Canis lupus familiaris: one gene and its partner. The protein of the gene in region 1 purifies or fractionates together with the protein of each later gene. This does not show direct contact. Links are inferred from orthologs where the notes say so. Each region holds a gene or a part of one and is shown in the gene's direction. Other genes may lie near its edges. The genes, in order: ITGA2 and ITGB1.

Region 1 (3,826 bases):
CTCATTTTCATTTCTCTGGGGTAGTAGTTTATCTCTGTTTTATAGATGAGGAAATGGAGGTTCAAAGAGGTTGCACAAATTGCCTAAAGCCATTGAGCTCATAAATGGTGGAATTAGAATTCAAACCAAGTATGTCTGATTCCAAACTTATGACTGCATAGTTGCGTGCCTTCCCTTCATATAAGCATCTAGAGTGTTCTCTCAAAGTATGTCAGTTAATCCTCAAATAGCAGTTAATCCTCACAACTGCATGGAAGCTGAAAGAACATGAGTTCTGATTTCAAAATCACCCCAGTTTTATTTCTGACCATGCTTTGTGAATGGAGCCGGTTTATTTTACCCCTTTTATTCTATTATCTGAAAAATGAGATAATATCCATTTTCCAGGTTGATAGCAAAACTTTTATAAGGTAACATATGAGAATGTGTTCAATTGCGGGCACTCAGTAACTGCTTCTTTATCATATCACCATGTTAGGGATGATGAAACCAATGCTTGAGGAAGTGAGTAATTTGCCCAAATTCACTCAGTAGATTTCCTGGTGGCAAATCTGCTTTGCTCCACACTGCTTCAAACCATGCTTTGAATCCCATCTGTCTGTATCCACAGTCACCTACATCATACCAGAGCCTGAATTACAAATGTCATGGTTGGTCACTGCTCACAATGCAGTGTAAAGACTGTTTTTATATTTTCTCAAAGTCCTTGAATTCACCCAGTAAGATACAATAAGGCAGGGATGGTTTTTCTGTAAAGGTTTATTTGTAATAACATTTCTTTATGATTTTTTTCATAGCCATTATATACAATATCACAATTGATGCAAACTTATATTCATCCAGAGTAACCTCCAGAGGTTTATTTAAAGAAAATAATGAAAGGTGTTTGCAAAAGAATATGCTCATAAGTCAAGCACAGAGTTGCGCTGAGTACACCATCAACATACAGGTGGGGCCACAGTCCTCTTTCCTCTTTTCCTCTGAGTAACTAATGAATGGTCTACGTCTAAAAAGAAAACTCGGGAGTTAGAAAATGCTTGCCCTTCTAGTTAATGCTTTTCTTGTTTAATTTTATGGGGGGAAATAATATTTTTTCTGCTAGTACATGGTCACATTCAATGAAAATGTTACTAGTATGAAATTTTATTTAGGATTACAACTGAAAGTCTAAAAAATGATATTTTTAAAGAAATCTTTAAGATTTCTTTCTTAAATGTTTAACAGGATGGGCTTTTAGTAGACAGTTTTATTTTAGTATTTTCTTATCAGGGAAAATTTTTATTTTCAAGCTGCTAAAAAGGACAATTCCAATTGTGATTTCCACTATTGGATTTAAGTTAACATAGGTGAAGGATGAGGTAAAAATTATTTGCTCCAATCTTATGCCACAGTTACTATAGTTGACATGAGTTTTGAAAATCTCACAAGTAGGAAAAATGCTTCTTGAAGGAAAATTTCCAACAGGAAATGGATTTTATAAATTATAGGACTATTTTCCCCTAGGAACTATGTAATGGTATTTGAAAGTGTGATTTCCTCAGGAAAGCATTTTTAAAAGAGCTGCTTAAGAACTTTCCTAGAACATGGTTCTCAGAGTTTAAGATACATAAAAACTGCCAAGAGAACTTTTATAAAATGCATATTCTGGGTTCCCACCATCAGAAATTTGGATTTGAAGGTCTGAGGTATATGCCGATTTAAGGAGTACTCCGAGATATTCCTGATATTAGATGAATGATACAAAGTTCACATCTCAAAAACTACTAAGTATGATTGGGAAAACAGAGTTAATAGAGGAATTAAAATCAATTGCATTGCTTAATTTCTTGTTCATGTTTAAGGAGACTTACTTATGAAGGCCTGGACCTTTTTGTCGTTAAGATGCACAATTATCCAGATTCTTTAAAGGGCTAGAAGCTGGATCTCCTTCTCTCCAATTTTTGTGCTAAGTCATAGATCAAATGAAACATGCATTCCATTCTGGGGGAATGAAGTCAGCCAAGCTATTGTTCACACATAATCCTTTTCATGCTGATGTGTGCTGTGAAGTTCTTAAGAAGGCATATGTGCCTTGGGTCAGCGAAGAGATCTCATTCGGTTAAGATACACCATATTGGATATCAATACTAAGCCCATCCTGTGTGCCAGCCTTGCAGCCAGCTAAGGAAATCTATCTAATTTTGTAGAGTGAGTTAGGTTTTGACTAAAGAAGGGAGTTCTCTTGTCATTGCCCAGTAGCCAGCCCTGAGCAACCTTCCCCTCTCAGTTACAATATTTCCTCCCAGAAATTTGGTCAGGATACCTAAGAACTCTTAAGTCTTGGCGGTAGGAACTGAAAAGACCTAGCCAACAACCCAAGAGCTGTGTACTGACAGGTCTTTTAAATATTAAAACTGGGCATATCCTCTAAATATTCATAAATTGTGTATGGATAACAAGATTTCTGGTGAGCTCAACTAAGAATTGCTGCTTCAGATCTTTACTGAACCCCAAGTCTCTAAGTGTCTTGCTGGTGGAGAGGCTAAGAACAGAATTAGGACAGAAAAGAAGAAGCAAGAGTCTTGAGAATTCAAAATGAGGATATTCTCCATAATTGAGAGGGGACTGTGTTGTTAATTGTGAACTCATTGTGGTCATTTTCTTGTTTGGGAACTACCGTGCCCTAGTAAACTGCCTCACTGTGTCTGTGTGTTTAGAAGCCCTCTGATGTTGTCAACTCTTTGGATCTGTATGTGAACATCAGCCTGGAACACCCTGGCACCAGCCCTGCCCTCGAAGCCTACTCTGAAAAGGCCAAAGTCTTCAGTGTAAGTGTGGTTTACCCTTCCTGGAATTCAGACTGGCTAGGAAAGCTTCATAGTCACTGCAGTCGTGTTCAAAAGCTACCTAGGACATAACTTTCAAATTGTTAGTTTTCTAAGTGAAATATGTGTAAAGTTCACCAACATGCAAGTTCCGTGAAGGATGGAGATTTTTGTCTTCTTCACTGCTGTATTCCCAGACCCTTGAACAGTGCCTGGTCCACCATAGGTGTCCAATAAATATTTGTTGAGGAAATAAATAACCATAAAGTTAAACACCTTGTTCTTACCACCTTTAAGAAATGTAACAAATAGTTATGTTCTCTGTATCCCTCCCTACTTTTATCACATTCATCTTCATCTTGCTCCTTCAGGCAAATCATCACCTCAAATTTTGCTTTTATTGACGCTTCCCTTCCTATGTTGCTAATCATGCATATATTCCTAAAATATTGTGTAGTTTTGCATGGTTTTGAGCTTTATATAGATGGAATGATACTACATGGATCCTTCCACAATGATTTCTAACTCAAGAGCACATGTGTGGGATTATTTTTCCTTTTTTTGTAGATCCCTTTCTACAAGGACTGTGGGGATGATGGAGTTTGCATCTCAGATCTAGTTCTGAATGTCCAACATCTGTCAGCTACTCAGTAAGTCTGCTTTAGAGCTCAGTGTAAAGTGTGGAAATAAGATACATTGATCACTTTATTCAAATGAATGTTTATGGAGATTTTTTCTATGAAAGAAACATCCATCACTAATAAAGACCCTTAAAATCTGAATTTTAATTTCTACCATCTATAAGGGGGAAAACAAGAAATCTAAAACCATTTGTATTGGGATGGTTCTTCTCCCTGCAATGTAATTAAAATAAGTGAAGAAGAAAATCTAATAGCATTGACTTATTTGTTGTCCATATCATTTTACTATGAGATGATTTATTAAACAACATTCTCAGTCCTCCAAATCTAAAGTTTTATCTTTTAATTTTTTAAATGAGTGAAGTATTTGAACACTGACCT
Region 2 (3,826 bases), on another chromosome or scaffold:
GTGATAATTTCAACTGCGATAGGTCCAATGGCTTAATTTGTGGAGGTGAGAAAGGGGTCTTAAAATGGTTATGAAAAGTGATCCCATCTTGTACAATAAAAAACATTCAGAGTTTGCTTGGTGAATAAGTAGGATAAGGGCAGCATTGAGGGGTCAGTCCATCCTTCACTACATATCCTTCCCCATTACTACTTGTTGCTTTTAAAGTCAGTGCCATGGTTGTATATTTTTACCATTGTAATGAGAAGTGATATTTTTAATTCCAGGAAATGGTGTTTGCAAGTGTCGTGTGTGCGAGTGCAACCCCAACTACACTGGCAGTGCCTGTGACTGTTCTCTGGACACGACTTCATGCCTGGCCACGAACGGGCAGATCTGCAATGGCAGGGGCGTCTGTGAGTGTGGTGCCTGTAAGTGTACAGACCCCAAGTTTCAAGGGCCAACCTGTGAGATGTGTCAGACCTGCCTTGGTGTCTGTGCTGAACACAAGTAAGTATTACCTAGTTGCTTGAAAGAGTTGATATTAGTTGTCTGTTGACCTATGTACTGTTATCACTAGAACCAGAACAGTACTGATGTTAGGTCACACTGGAAATAAGGTATGTGACCCACGGTAGCCCACTCTGAGCTTAAAGATCCTTTCTCAGTCACTAGCGTTTGTCATACAATACTTGTGTGTCATATGAGAGTAGTTGATGCCATCATTTTGGTCTGAATTGGCTATGTAATTGAATCCCATAGGGTAACCTTTGTGAAATTAGTATTACCAGTTTCATTATGATCTCTTGACTAAACTAAGCAAAATGATGGTTTGCCTTTTGAAGAAGTGTTATTGTACAAATAACACAATGCTTATATCATTTTGGTTTTGTATTATATATTTATAGTGTCTGATAAGGCTAGTTTTATTTATGACTTTTTATTTTTATTCATTTTTTATTTTATTTTTTTACAAGCAATCATCTGATTTATAGAAAGATGCAACAATACTTAAAATGATACAAAATACTGATTTCAAAACATCAAAAAATGAGTATATTTAACCATACTCAGCTCGTAACAGAGCAAATGGGTAAGAAGAATAATTCATACTATAGCATATTGCTAATATGAACTGTCAACAGAAAAAGTTGGTATAAGAATGCAGAAAAACTCTATCTTTTAAGAATTAGAACTGAGGGGCTCCGTAATCATCTAGCATCCGCTCAATGTTGTACCTATGGTTAGAAATGTACATTATGGGAACTCCAGGAATCTTCCGGATCCTTCGTTTAAGGTCCCGGTCAACTGTGGCCACAATTTAACACTTGTGCTGAGTTACTGTCTGTACTAAGCAGTCATCTGCATAGGTTCCTTTGTGTGTGCATGGCAATCATTCGAATCTTAGATCCTTGGCAATCCTTAGAGCCACTCGATACTTTTGCCCCAGTTTTTCAATTTCAGCCATTACACAGTCAGTTATACAAGGGATACACTTGGCATACAGACAGTCCATCACTGACTGTACTAAGTCAAGTTTGGCTTTAATAGAAAAGTTGACAGGGATCCCTGGGTGGCGCAGCGGTTTAGCGCCTGCCTTTGGCCCCAGGGCGCGATCCTGGAGACCTGGGATAGAATCACATGTCGGGCTCCCCGTGCATGGAGCCTGCTTCTCCCTCTGCCTATGTCTCTGCCTCTCTCTCTCTCTCTCTCTCTCTCTCTCTGTGACTATCATAAATAAATAAAAATTTAAAAAAAAAAGAAAAAAAAGAAAAGTTGACAAAGTTGGTATCAACCAGGATGTGGTAAGGTGGGCCCAGCTGTGTGTTATATTGGAAGAATAAGCAGGAAGCATGTTGGGGGACTTCTCTTTCCTTGAGTACACTGGGAACTTTCTTTTCTTTCTTTTTAGGTTTTAATCTATCCTTCTCTTTAAGCCTCTGATCTCGGAGACTAAGCATTCGCTTCATGGTCGCATACTTTCTTGTCTTCTTTTGCTTCCCCATGTTCATGCCGCACTCTGTTTCTTCTATTTATGACTTTTTAATTTCTCTTTTTGGATTTTAATTTGAACTGTACTATGTAACTTCACTTGGAAAACTAGTGTCTTTATATTTAGTTTTCCCATCTAGAAGTGTCATATGCCTCTCCATTTACTCCCATGAAATAATCCTTAAGCAAATATTTATTTTAAATAAGTTTTTAATGCAATTTGTGTTTTCACAGAGAATGTGTTCAGTGCAGAGCCTTCAATAAAGGAGAAAAGAAAGACACTTGCGCACAGGAATGTTCACATTTCAACATTACCAAGGTTGAAAATCGGGACAAATTACCACAACCAGGCCAGGTTGATCCCCTATCCCATTGTAAAGAGAAGGATGTTGACGACTGCTGGTTCTATTTCACATATTCAGTGAATGGGAATAATGAGGCCATTGTTCATGTTGTAGAGACACCAGGTAAAAGTCTGATCATTTCAAAATTCTTTCCATTTTCTTTTCTACTGCTACTTAGGCCTCTTGGCAGTTTCCCTAGCACCCAGTAACACTTCCAGCTGGATTATTTTAAATTCAAGTTAGGGCACTTTTAATCTCAAAAATAGTATTGTTAACGATATAAAAGAAGAAGGAAAAAACAAGTCTTAAGTGTTATGAATGGAGAGTTTGAAGACTAAATGTATGAATCCACATAAAATACTCAGCATACTGCCTGACATTTATTTAACCAGGACAGGAATTCACTAGGACTTGGCTCATTATTGATGATGCTTGAATTTGAGCTTGATTTAGGCTTGAGTGCTACTGGGAAAGATAATTTTAAAGAATATTATAAAGCATGAATTTGTTTAGCTTCTCAGAAGAGGAAACATTTTTTATTTTGATTTTTGTAGGCACTTTTTGTTATATTCTTTGAAATTTCCTACATTTCTGTACAGGTTGTTGTAGGAATGTAAGTGTTAATTTCTTTTGGATATATGGTAGAAATGCATTTGAGGGCATATGGTAAGCATATGTTTAACCCTATAAGAAATAGCCAAACTGTTTTTTTCTTGAAGTCTCTGTATTTTGCATTTACAGATACATGTTTACCAATTTATGCTTCCTTATCTTTTCATCTTTTTAACATTGTTTTTGAAAGACCAGAAGCTTTAATTTTGATGAACTACAATTTACCGTCTTTCTTTTATGGATCTTGCTTTTACTGTTCTATCTAGCACTCCATGCCTAACTCAGGTTCATAACGATTTTTCTTGTATTTTCTTTTTTTTTTTTTTTAATTTAAATTGGACACTTGGCCAGTTCAGTCAGTAAAGCATGAGTCTTTTATTTTTTTAAATATTTTATTTATTTATTCATGTGAGAGAGAGAGAATGAGAGAGAGAGAGAGAGACACAGGCAGAGGGAGAAGCAGGCTCCATGCACGGAGCCCGACGCGGGACCCGATCCTGGGTCTCCAGGATCACACCCTGGGCCAAAGGCGGCACTAAACCGCTGAGCCACTGGGGCTGCCCTCTCCTGTGTTTTCTTTAGAAGTTTAATAGTTTCTGGTTTTTCCATTTAGGCCTGTAACCCATTTTGAGTTAATTTTAGTATATGGAGTGAGATTCAGTTCTTATATATGGATGTGTAGTAGTTCTAGCACTTTGTTGGAAAGACTGATTCTTCTCTACCTTTGAAAAATCAAATGATCTTATGTATGTTGGTCTAATTCTTTATTATGTTCCATTTATCTGTGCATCTGACCTTTAGCCAATATACCACACTGTGTCAATTACTGTTGTTTTATAGCTAGTCTTGAAATCTGGTAATGTGAGATGTCCAATTTTGTTCTTTTCCAAAGTGTTTTT

What was found.
Region 2: the proteins of ITGA2 (region 1) and ITGB1 purify together in Homo sapiens (co-immunoprecipitation; 3 studies listed by BioGRID and IntAct, with this or other methods). This does not show direct contact. The link is inferred for Canis lupus familiaris from reciprocal best matches to the Homo sapiens genes ITGA2 and ITGB1.

The regions. Positions count from the first base shown.
Region 1 is NC_049225.1:63,113,318-63,117,143, reverse strand, and holds part of ITGA2 (integrin alpha-2), read left to right. Parts: intron 1-797; coding exon 798-949; intron 950-2,696; coding exon 2,697-2,807; intron 2,808-3,371; coding exon 3,372-3,454; intron 3,455-3,826. UniProt on the Homo sapiens protein: Integrin alpha-2/beta-1 is a receptor for laminin, collagen, collagen C-propeptides, fibronectin and E-cadherin. It recognizes the proline-hydroxylated sequence G-F-P-G-E-R in collagen.
Region 2 is NC_049223.1:3,973,454-3,977,279, forward strand, and holds part of ITGB1 (integrin beta-1), read left to right. Parts: coding exon 1-45; intron 46-266; coding exon 267-489; intron 490-1,168; exon of another isoform or gene 1,169-1,541; intron 1,542-1,761; exon of another isoform or gene 1,762-1,985; intron 1,986-2,205; coding exon 2,206-2,438; intron 2,439-3,826.